Linked DNA regions of Sus scrofa. The main gene of each other region encodes a partner of the protein of the gene in region 3 in a complex. Links are inferred from orthologs where the notes say so. Each region holds a gene or a part of one and is shown on either strand. Other genes may lie near its edges. The genes, in order: YWHAG, OOEP and NLRP5.

Region 1 (2,654 bases), on a different chromosome or scaffold from region 3:
CTCTATTTTTGTGGTGTTTAATGTTTCTATTAAAGTGATTAATAATTTTTGTGGTGGGTTTAAGTTAAGAAGAAGGGACCAAAAAAAATCCCACAGCCACCTGCCAAGCACCTGTTAACCAAAACCTAAAGTAGCTCTGATTCTCCTCAGGCAAGCCTTCCGGCCTAGGAGAGAGAGAACAGCAAAACCAACCTGGATAAGGCTGAATAAGGACGTACAAGCCACAGTAAAGAAAAATACACAATCAATGGCTTGATGTTACATATGGCTGTAATGTAGAAATACTGTAAACTGCAATTTAGTGTTAATACTGTCAACCAATCAGGAACTTCTGAAAACTGGCAACGCCTAACCCATAAGGATAAATATACCTTATGTTCTAAGTCTATCAGCTTGGGATTTAAACTATTCCATGTCTGGTAGAGTACACCCTGAAAAAAAAATGCACAGCTAAAACAGATGAGACAGAAAGTACCCAAAACTTAAGACAAGAGCATATGTACATAAAAATCCTTACTGGAACCACAGAACTTATTGAATGAGGGCCATTCCATTTAAGTTTTCAATTCATCTTTAAACCCTATGTTCTAGCAATAAGTTAAATTAAAGACAGCTCCACTTGCATTAATCTACAGAACAGTCCATAAGCCAGTGTGAGGCTGCTATTCCAATACCAGCACAGCTAGCCTGACTTTCCACTAGTGGTATTTTGGCAAAAATGTCAAAGAGGCGATCAAAGACAGGACAGGTCGTGGGTTTCTCCCTAGGAAGGTCATCCCTCCCTTTCCCTCCCCCACCCGACCCCCAACTCATGGGAAAAAATAAAGACTGCAGTAGTAGCATCAGCGTGCGCTGCCAGTCCACCTGGGGCCTTAATTGTTGCCTTCTCCACCGTCGTCGTCTTGCTGATCGCTTGTCCAGAGCGTGAGGTTGTCGCGGAGGAGCTGCATGATGAGCGTGGAGTCCTTGTAGGAGTCCTCGTTGAGGGTGTCAAGCTCGGCGATGGCGTCATCGAAAGCGGTCTTGGCCAAGTGGCAGGCTTGCTCCGGGGCGTTCTGGATCTCATAGTAGAAAACGGAGTAGTTAAGGGCCAGGCCTAATCTAATGGGGTGAGTGGGCTGCATGTGCTCCTTGCTGATCTCATGGGCTTCGCTATAGGCCTTCTCAGACGACTCCACGACGGTCGCCCTCTTCTCTCCAGTGGCTACTTCGGCCAGGTAGCGGTAATAGTCCCCTTTCATCTTCAGGTAGAACACTTTGCTCTCATACTGGGTCTCGCTGCAATTCTTGATCAGGTAGTTATCCAGCAGGCTCAGCACATCCTGACATACGGCCTCCAACTCCTTCTCTATTTTTTCACGGTAAGCACGGACCATCTCTATCTTCTTCTCATTGCCATCTGCAGAGGTCTTCTGCTCAATGCTACTAATGACCCTCCAGGAAGAACGGCGCGCCCCGACTACATTCTTGTAAGCCACAGAGAGAAGGTTTCTTTCTTCATTGGACAGTGGCTCATTCAGCTCTGTCACCTATTAAGGAGGAAAGAAGACAGAGTTGTTACGGTACAGATGATGTCAGCTGGATTAATCACTTCTTTATGCCGCTAAAACATCAGCTGCTAAGGTCATTAACAGTCAGAGAAGTTAGGCCGTGCAGCTCTATGGAAGGGGGACGGAGGTGGGACGAGCAACAACCAAGGAAAAAAAACTGCAGCTGGATCACTGGTGCCTCAACTCCTGCTTCCTTCCTAGAAAAGGACACACACACGTGTCACGTAGCTCTCCCGTAAGATGACAAACCAAATCTCGATCTACATTACAAAAGGTCAACAGCTCTCATGCAACATTACATAGATACCAATCCTCAGGACTTTAACTAGAGATGGCTTCCATACAGCATCAGTTTTTTAAAGAAAATGGAATAACAGCTTCTAAGCTTGACCTGCCAAATTTCAGTCCCAGCCCTCTGGATGAGAGTATCTTGCATGCTGGGTGAGAATATATCGAGTCAACTTCAAAGTTGACTTTTGAGAAACAAAGAAACTTTTCTGTTCTTACGTTAGTATAAACTAGAGTTCCTGCTGTGGTGCAGTGGGGTCAGTGCCGTGTCTGCAGCACCAGGATGCAGATGCAGGCTCAATCCCCGGGCCTGGCACAGTGGGTTAAAGGATCCCACCTCCCGCAGCTGCAGCGTAGGTCACAACTGCAGCTCAGATTTGATCCCTGGCCTGAGAATTCCATGTGCCACTGGGTGGCCGAAAAAGCAAAAAGGATAATATAAATTACAAACCTCAGAAAGAAAGTAAAAATTGGGGGCATGGGATTGACTCTATAATTACTGAGATATTTGCAACTCAGAGAATAAATACTTGAATACAATTAGCAAAAAGATGGAGAGGTGAGCAAAAAAAGCACTTCTGAGTTGAGGAGACCAATAGGAATGAATGCTTCTTTTTTTTCCCTTTTTATTTTTTTCTGTTATAGTTGATTTATAATGTTCTGTCAATTTCTGCTGTACAGCAAAGTGACCCATTCATACAGATATGAATGCTTCTTTCCATTGTACTTATTTATTTTTCTTGGCCATGCTTGCAACATGTGGAAGTTCCCAAGCCAGGAATCAAACTCTCACCACAGCAGAGACCTGAGCCACTG
Region 2 (2,475 bases), on a different chromosome or scaffold from region 3:
AAGCTTCCCAGGAGAATTTTTGGCATTGCCTAAAAGCTTTTTAGAAAAGAAAATTCCATGGGCTCAATCTACTGCATCGAATCAGTGGAGAAGGGGACCAAGAAATTGTGTTTTAGGAAGTTTTCAAGATGACCCTTACACACAATAAAGTTTGAGAACAAATGATACAAAAGAAACTCAAAGCAGACTGACCATATAGTTCTGTACTCTGTGCTTGAAGGCCTGACTCTGACCATAAAATAATGATAAAAGGGTTAGTAGTTTCAAAACGGCAGAAACTAAACCCACCATCAGCCTTTTACCCACCTCTCACATCAAGACATGAATGAGCGAAGTCAATCTTTTATAAATTTGCTTTTATTTTTAGTGAGAAAAGATCTTTATGCTATTGAACAAAAAAGGAAATTCATTTATTTACTCAGTGGCATTACAAACTCACATTTACATCAAAATAATAAACAATCAGGACACAGGAAAAAAATGCAGAGATTTAAGGATATTTGCTTCTCTTGAACTTGAGTAGCAGAAGCAGGACTGTTCTCATGCTCCTGACAATGCTTATGCAACAGGATGCTGGGGGTTCTGGGGACCTGATGCAAGGGCCTTCAAGAATTCCTCGAGTTGTTCCATCTTTTCAGCTGGAAAAGGAAAAATGCTCACTGTTGCAAACTACTATTTCACAGGAGTTAGCGGAAGGGGAGCTCTGGCGACATCATTTCTCAGGGTGGAAGCTCTGAACCTAGGATCTGGAGGTAGTGGTGCCACCAAGCTGAGGCTGACGTGGGCAGTGATGGGCCTGAATGCATCATATCTCAGCCTACTTTCCCCATGTCCTATTTGGATTCTTCACAAAGAGATGCCCAGGGAGACTCTCTGCAACATGCTGGAATGAGGAAACTGCAAAACGCTTTGGGAAGATATGAGGCTGGAAGGAAGATAAGCACGACCAGGTGTTTTCTCTTGTGGCTCCCTCCACAGGCATGTTTTCCAAGATCCTTACCTCGGGCACGATGCTCTCGGTGCCTCGACGCTAGGCTAAGGAGGACGTTCTTCACCCGATGTTGTACAGTTGGTCGTCCAAAGACTGTGATTTCGACCAAGTTCTCGGCGTTAACTGTGTCTACCATCAGCAGGGCCTGGCTCATCCACTCAATCTTCGGAACCAGGACTTGGTTTGGGCCTAAAGAAGAGAGAGAGGCTGAGCAGCGGCACCGGTCAAAGAGCAGGAAGAGCTAGCTGTAAGGGAATGGGAGCAGGAAGGACTGGAAGCTGGGGAACTGGGCTGATGACCAGGGAACTGGGCTATAGAAAGCCGCCCAGGGGCCTGCTCCCAGCACACCCAGTCGCTCACCGAAGATGGAGTCAGCCAGCCACGCCTCCAGGGAAAACACCAATGGGTTTCTCAGCTCCTGCACAGGAAACCACCAAGGCCGGGTGTGAATCCGTGGCGCCAGAAGTGGTAACTCCAGCAGCCCTTTCTCCTGGGGAGATGTCGTCGACTCTGCCCCCTGGGCTTCGGTGGCACCTGCGCTGTGCATGCTTAGACCAGCGCTACCGTGGAGCTTGCAGGGGTGCGAAGCCCGGCCCTTTAGGGTGTCCTGCTGGCCCCGCCCCTGCTGGTGCACCTGGGCCCCTGCTGCCTCACCCGCTTGTTTGGTGCTGGTGCCCGGTGCTGCCCCGGCACTTCCTTCTCTGCGTGGGTCACCTGGACTTCCTTTTCCACCTTGAGTCTCTCCGAGCCTCTCCACCTGTAAGGTAACACTTAGCCTTAAGGTTCCAGCCTCGGAACACAGCTGATTGAAGTGTGGTTTGACTGAGCGGGAGTTTCTTCCATTGCCTGGTTAAGGTTTCCAAGGCCATGCCTAAGGCGTGCCAGGTCCAGGGCAGATTCCTGGAATCTGCAACTTCTCTCTTCTGTTCTCGTTTCCTGACTCTGGTTTGTTACCACTTCGAAATCATTCAAACAAATGTGTTGTGTTTAAAATATGGACTTCAGAAATTCTCTTGTGGCACAGTGGGTTAAGGATCCGTCGTTGTCACTGCAGTGGTGCAGATTAAGAGGGTTGGATTCCTGGCCTGGAAACTTCCATATGCCTTGGGCACTGCCAAAAATACATACATACTTACATACATAAAGACAGGGTTTCCTGCCTCTGCAGAAGGTTACATTGCTTTTATTTAAAAAAAAAAAAAAGATTGAAAATAAAATACAGACTTCAGAGGTGGTCATTCTAAAAAAACTTAGCAAGTGTAGACAAATCTCATTTCCAAAATCCTGAGACAACTAGTGTTGGTGCCCATTTCTTCCCAAGGTTCTTAATTTTAGTTAAAAATTTAAATTATGAAAGATTTCACACATTCAGAAAGCTGTATAAAACACTCATGTACTGCTCTCCATTTAACAAGATGTTAATATTTCCCACATTTGCCTCATTTCTCTTCTTTAAAATAGATATCACCAGAGCATTTTTCCTT
Region 3 (3,757 bases):
AAGCTGGGGCAAATAAATGCTTTGGGAAATAATCACTAATGTAGAGATTTGAGGCCCAAAGTGGCTGCTGTTACTATTCACCAAGATGAGCCCTTTTTTATTTTTTAGACAGTTTTCAAGGGTGACTTTCCATTTAAAGTTAGGACAACATACTGGCTCTATTCCCCGTGTTGTACAAACCCTCCTTGAGCCCATCTCACACCCAATGGTTTATGGCTCCCACTCCCCAACACCTGTTTACCCTCCCCCCTCACTGGTAACCAGTAGCGTGTTCTCCAAATCCGTGTCTGCTTCTTTTCTGTTGTAGTCTCCCGTTTGTTGTATCTTTCAGATTTCACATGCGACTATCAGACAGTATTTATGTCTTTCTCTGCCTGACTTATTTCACCTAGCCCTCCCAGACCATCCATGTGGCTGCACATGGCAACTTTTCATTCTTTTGTTGTTGTTGTTGACAAGGGCTGCAGGTGTGGCATATGGAGGTTCCCAGGCTAGGGGTCAGATCCGAGCTGCAGCTGCCAACCTACACCACAGCCACAGCCACTCTGGATCCGTGCCTCATCTACCACCTACACCGCAGCTCACTACTGAGTGGGGCCAGGGATGGAACACACATCCTTATGGATACCAGTTGAGTTTGTTTCCACTGAGCCATGACAGGAACTTCAAAATTCCATTCTTTTTTAATGGCTGAGTGGTAGTTCACCGTTCATATATACCACATTTTCCTTATGCATCTATTGATGGACATTCAAGCTGCTTCCCTATCTTGGCTATTCTGGGTAACGCTGTATGAACACTGGGGTGCATGGATCTTTTGAAATTAGTGTTTTTGCTTTGTTTTGTTTTCAGGTACATACCCAGGAGTGGAACTGCCGGGTCATATGGCCATTCTACTCTTAGCTTTTTGAGCAGTCTCCATGCTGTTTTCCACCATGGCTGCACCCACTTACATTCCCACCAGAAGGGCGTATGGGTTCCCTTTGCTCCACATCCTTGCCAACAGTTGTTACGTGAGCTCATTTTGATGATAGCCATTTTGACAGGTATAAGGTGAGCGCTCAAGGTGGTTTGGATTTGCGTTTCCTGATCATTAGCAGTGTTAAGATGGTACTTTAGAAGGCAGGGGATTTATTTGATCACAAACAGGAATACATACTATGAGCTCACAGGAGTCCGGATAAGTTTCATGGAGAAAATCAACTGAACAAACCAGAGCAGCATCATTCAAGAATGGTAAATGCCAGGTCAGGTAAAATCAGGAGAGACACACACATCCTTGCTCTGGGGCAACCAGGTGAGGGCTGTTTCTGTCCAGAGGGCCTGGGCACAGGTTAGGAAGGGTGATGCAGCATCTTCACCTGACAGGTGGGAAGGGGGTGGAGCATACAGGTAGAGAAAGCAGCTGCCCCACATCTACCCTGGCTGTTTGGAGCCGTGGCAGCCAATGGACGGCAACAACGTCACCAGCCCAGGATTCCCCAAAGACCCATCGCCCCGTCGTTGCCAGTTGGGATCTAGTCTTGGGGGTGAGGAGGCGAGCTGGTGAGTGTTTTCTTCTGTCCTGTTCCCACATCTTTCTCTCCCCATTTTTCCTCCATTCCTGGTGGGAACCCATTCAGTGAGCCCTACGCTCTGCCCTCCTCCTCTCCGTATAAACTAGCAGGAGTCCAGGGACCAAAGGTGTCCTTAGCAAGAAGGAAGTGCCCCATCTCCCCATTTTCATGAAAAGGTCCACCTCTAACACACATGGTGTCTCGGGTATTTCCTCCATACATCTCGCAACCCTTTCCAGGCTCTAGGTCTGAAGTAAAGGGTAGGGTTGGGGTGCTCTGAGCTCACAGAGCAGGGTGGAGATCAGCAGAAGTCTGCTCCACGTCTTAAAGGAGTCCGGGCAAATTACTCTGTAAATTCTGCAGATAAGGTGATAACAGCAGCTCAGGGTCATTGAAGTGCTGCACAGTCCTGAGGGGGTTCTTGGTCAAGTGAGGAAACTGAGTTACAAAGGAGTTAAGTGGCTTTTCCTGGAGCACCAAGAAGCACATCAATATTCAAAACTGGGTCTGATTTCATGCCCTGGAGTCTTACCTGTTTCCATGGGATTTTTCAAGACACCTGTGTAGAAAGGTGTTGCAGGAATTAGTACCTATAGGATAGAGACAAACGGAGCTCTGATGAGTCATTTGTTCCCAGAAATTAGCTCTGACCATCGTCTTGACTTAGCCCTCCAACCTACCCTCTTGCCTCTCCTGGAAGGCCTTGGCCTTCTCACCAACCCCACCTCGATTTTATGGGAGAAGGGGGTCCATCAGCCTGTCCCCCCTTATTCCTTCCACCTGGACTCTCCGCCCCTCGACTCACCTGTCTTGGGGGTTTAACATGTGGGTTTCCCTCCAGAATATATTAGAGGAGATGGAGAATTAGAGTCGGATGGGTTTGGCCATGCTCCTTCCTAAAGCAGAGCAAGCTCTCCTCCTCAGAACGTCAGCTCTCCACTCTGGAAAGCGAGGACAGTAATACCCTCGGAGTTACAGTAATGCAGGAATCTTTATAGATTGATACTGTTGATACAAAGTTTACACGAGATGCTCTACATCTCCTGAAAAGGGATTTAAAAGAGAACACACTGTTTTCATTCTTAGCTTCTTCCACTTCCATGGCTCTTAGTTCCGAGCATAGAAACCTTCTCAATATCACCCTAAAAATACCCGTCTCTAAACCACAGTGATGTGGTAATTACCCCTGAGGGTTGGACGGTGTTCTGGCTCCTGTAATCTCTCTGGATGGCTTTGTGTGGTGAAGCAAATGTTTAATTCAAATGGTGGATCGATACTGTTTGGGTTTGACAACCTGAAATGCATTCTCTTTTAAACAAGCTTCCTGTATTCATTTAGTCACCTAACTCAAATAATGGGGAGGTTTGGGGGCTTGTTGGTTTGTTTGTTATCTTTTTAGGGCCACGCCTGCAGCATATGGAGGTTTCCAGGCTAGGGGTCAAATTGGAGCTGTAGCTGCCGGCCTATACCACAGCCACAGCAACGCCAGATCCTTAACCCACTGAGCAGGGCCAAGGATCAAACTTGGGTCCTCATGGATCCTAGTCAGATGCATGTCTGCTGAGCTACAACAGGAACTCCCTGTTTTATGTATTCAATCTCCCTGTATCAAGGTGGTTTTATGTTAGAGGGAAAAATAAACCTAGGAAATTTTTCATGTATTTTTAAAATTTAGTTTATTGAAGTATAGTTGACTTACAATGTTGTGTTAATTTCTGCTGTAAGCAAAGTAATTTGTGTGTGTGTGTGTGTGTGTATTCTTTTCCATTACAGTTTATCATAAGATAGAGAATATAGTTCCTGTGCTATTCAGTAGGACCTGGTTGTGTATCCTTTCTAAATGTAATAGTTGGCCTCTGTGAATCCCAAACTCCCCCTCCCTCCCTCACCCCTGCCCCCTTGGCAACAACAAGTCTGCTCTCTATATCATTTTCATTTAATTTAACCTAGGGAATGTTAGCTGCTCTGTGGTTAGGATGTAACCTTTTAGTGCATTTTAGAAATATTTTCCCAGTAGGGTCAATACTTTACGTAAATGTTGTATAGAAATGTTGAGGAAAGTGCTTTCGAGGCATCTGCTTTGAGTGACCCAGCCATAAACTTTGTCTCTCCATAAGTAATGTTCACCTCCTTTTTTTTTTTTTTTTTTTTCTGTTTTTCATAGATGAGTCATGGTGGTAAGGTCTCAATTGTTTTAGTAA

What was found.
Region 1: the proteins of NLRP5 (region 3) and YWHAG are in contact, whole or in part, in a cryo-EM structure (PDB 8XI3), measured with the Mus musculus proteins. The link is inferred for Sus scrofa from reciprocal best matches to the Homo sapiens genes NLRP5 and YWHAG. Residues at the interface, in NP_035990.1 of Mus musculus: Ser1030, Cys1031, Ser1055, Gln1058, Cys1059, Pro1060, Val1061, Glu1084, Phe1087, Val1088, Lys1089; in NP_061359.2 of Mus musculus: Phe201, Tyr216, Thr220, Met223, Gln224, Arg227, Asp228, Thr231, Ser235.
Region 2: the proteins of NLRP5 (region 3) and OOEP are in contact, whole or in part, in a cryo-EM structure (PDB 8H93), measured with the Mus musculus proteins. The link is inferred for Sus scrofa from reciprocal best matches to the Homo sapiens genes NLRP5 and OOEP. Residues at the interface, in NP_035990.1 of Mus musculus: Glu173, Leu176, Leu195, His196, Gly202, Leu206, Asn322, Leu325, Glu326, Tyr337, Ile338, Leu339, Val340, Glu341, Gly342, Leu343, Ser344, Ala345, Ser346, His373, Asn625, Gln626, Asp652, Ser655, Glu661, Leu662, Cys663, Pro664; in NP_080756.1 of Mus musculus: Ser26, Leu27, Arg28, Leu29, Arg30, Thr31, Arg32, Ile38, Val41, Asn43, Tyr48, Met49, Leu75, Leu86, Glu88, Pro95, Thr99, Lys102.

The regions. Positions count from the first base shown.
Region 1 is NC_010445.4:10,018,774-10,021,427, reverse strand, and holds part of YWHAG (14-3-3 protein gamma), read right to left. Parts: intron 1,530-2,654; coding exon 873-1,529; 3' UTR 865-872; intron 1-864. UniProt on the Homo sapiens protein: Adapter protein implicated in the regulation of a large spectrum of both general and specialized signaling pathways. Binds to a large number of partners, usually by recognition of a phosphoserine or phosphothreonine motif.
Region 2 is NC_010443.5:53,006,340-53,008,814, forward strand, and holds OOEP (oocyte-expressed protein homolog), read right to left. Parts: upstream 1,539-2,475; coding exon 1,352-1,538; intron 1,181-1,351; coding exon 1,001-1,180; intron 639-1,000; coding exon 559-638; downstream 1-558. UniProt on the Homo sapiens protein: Component of the subcortical maternal complex (SCMC), a multiprotein complex that plays a key role in early embryonic development.
Region 3 is NC_010448.4:60,374,291-60,378,047, forward strand, and holds the start of NLRP5 (NACHT, LRR and PYD domains-containing protein 5), read left to right. Parts: upstream 1-1,379; 5' UTR 1,380-1,545; intron 1,546-3,757. UniProt on the Homo sapiens protein: Component of the subcortical maternal complex (SCMC), a multiprotein complex that plays a key role in early embryonic development.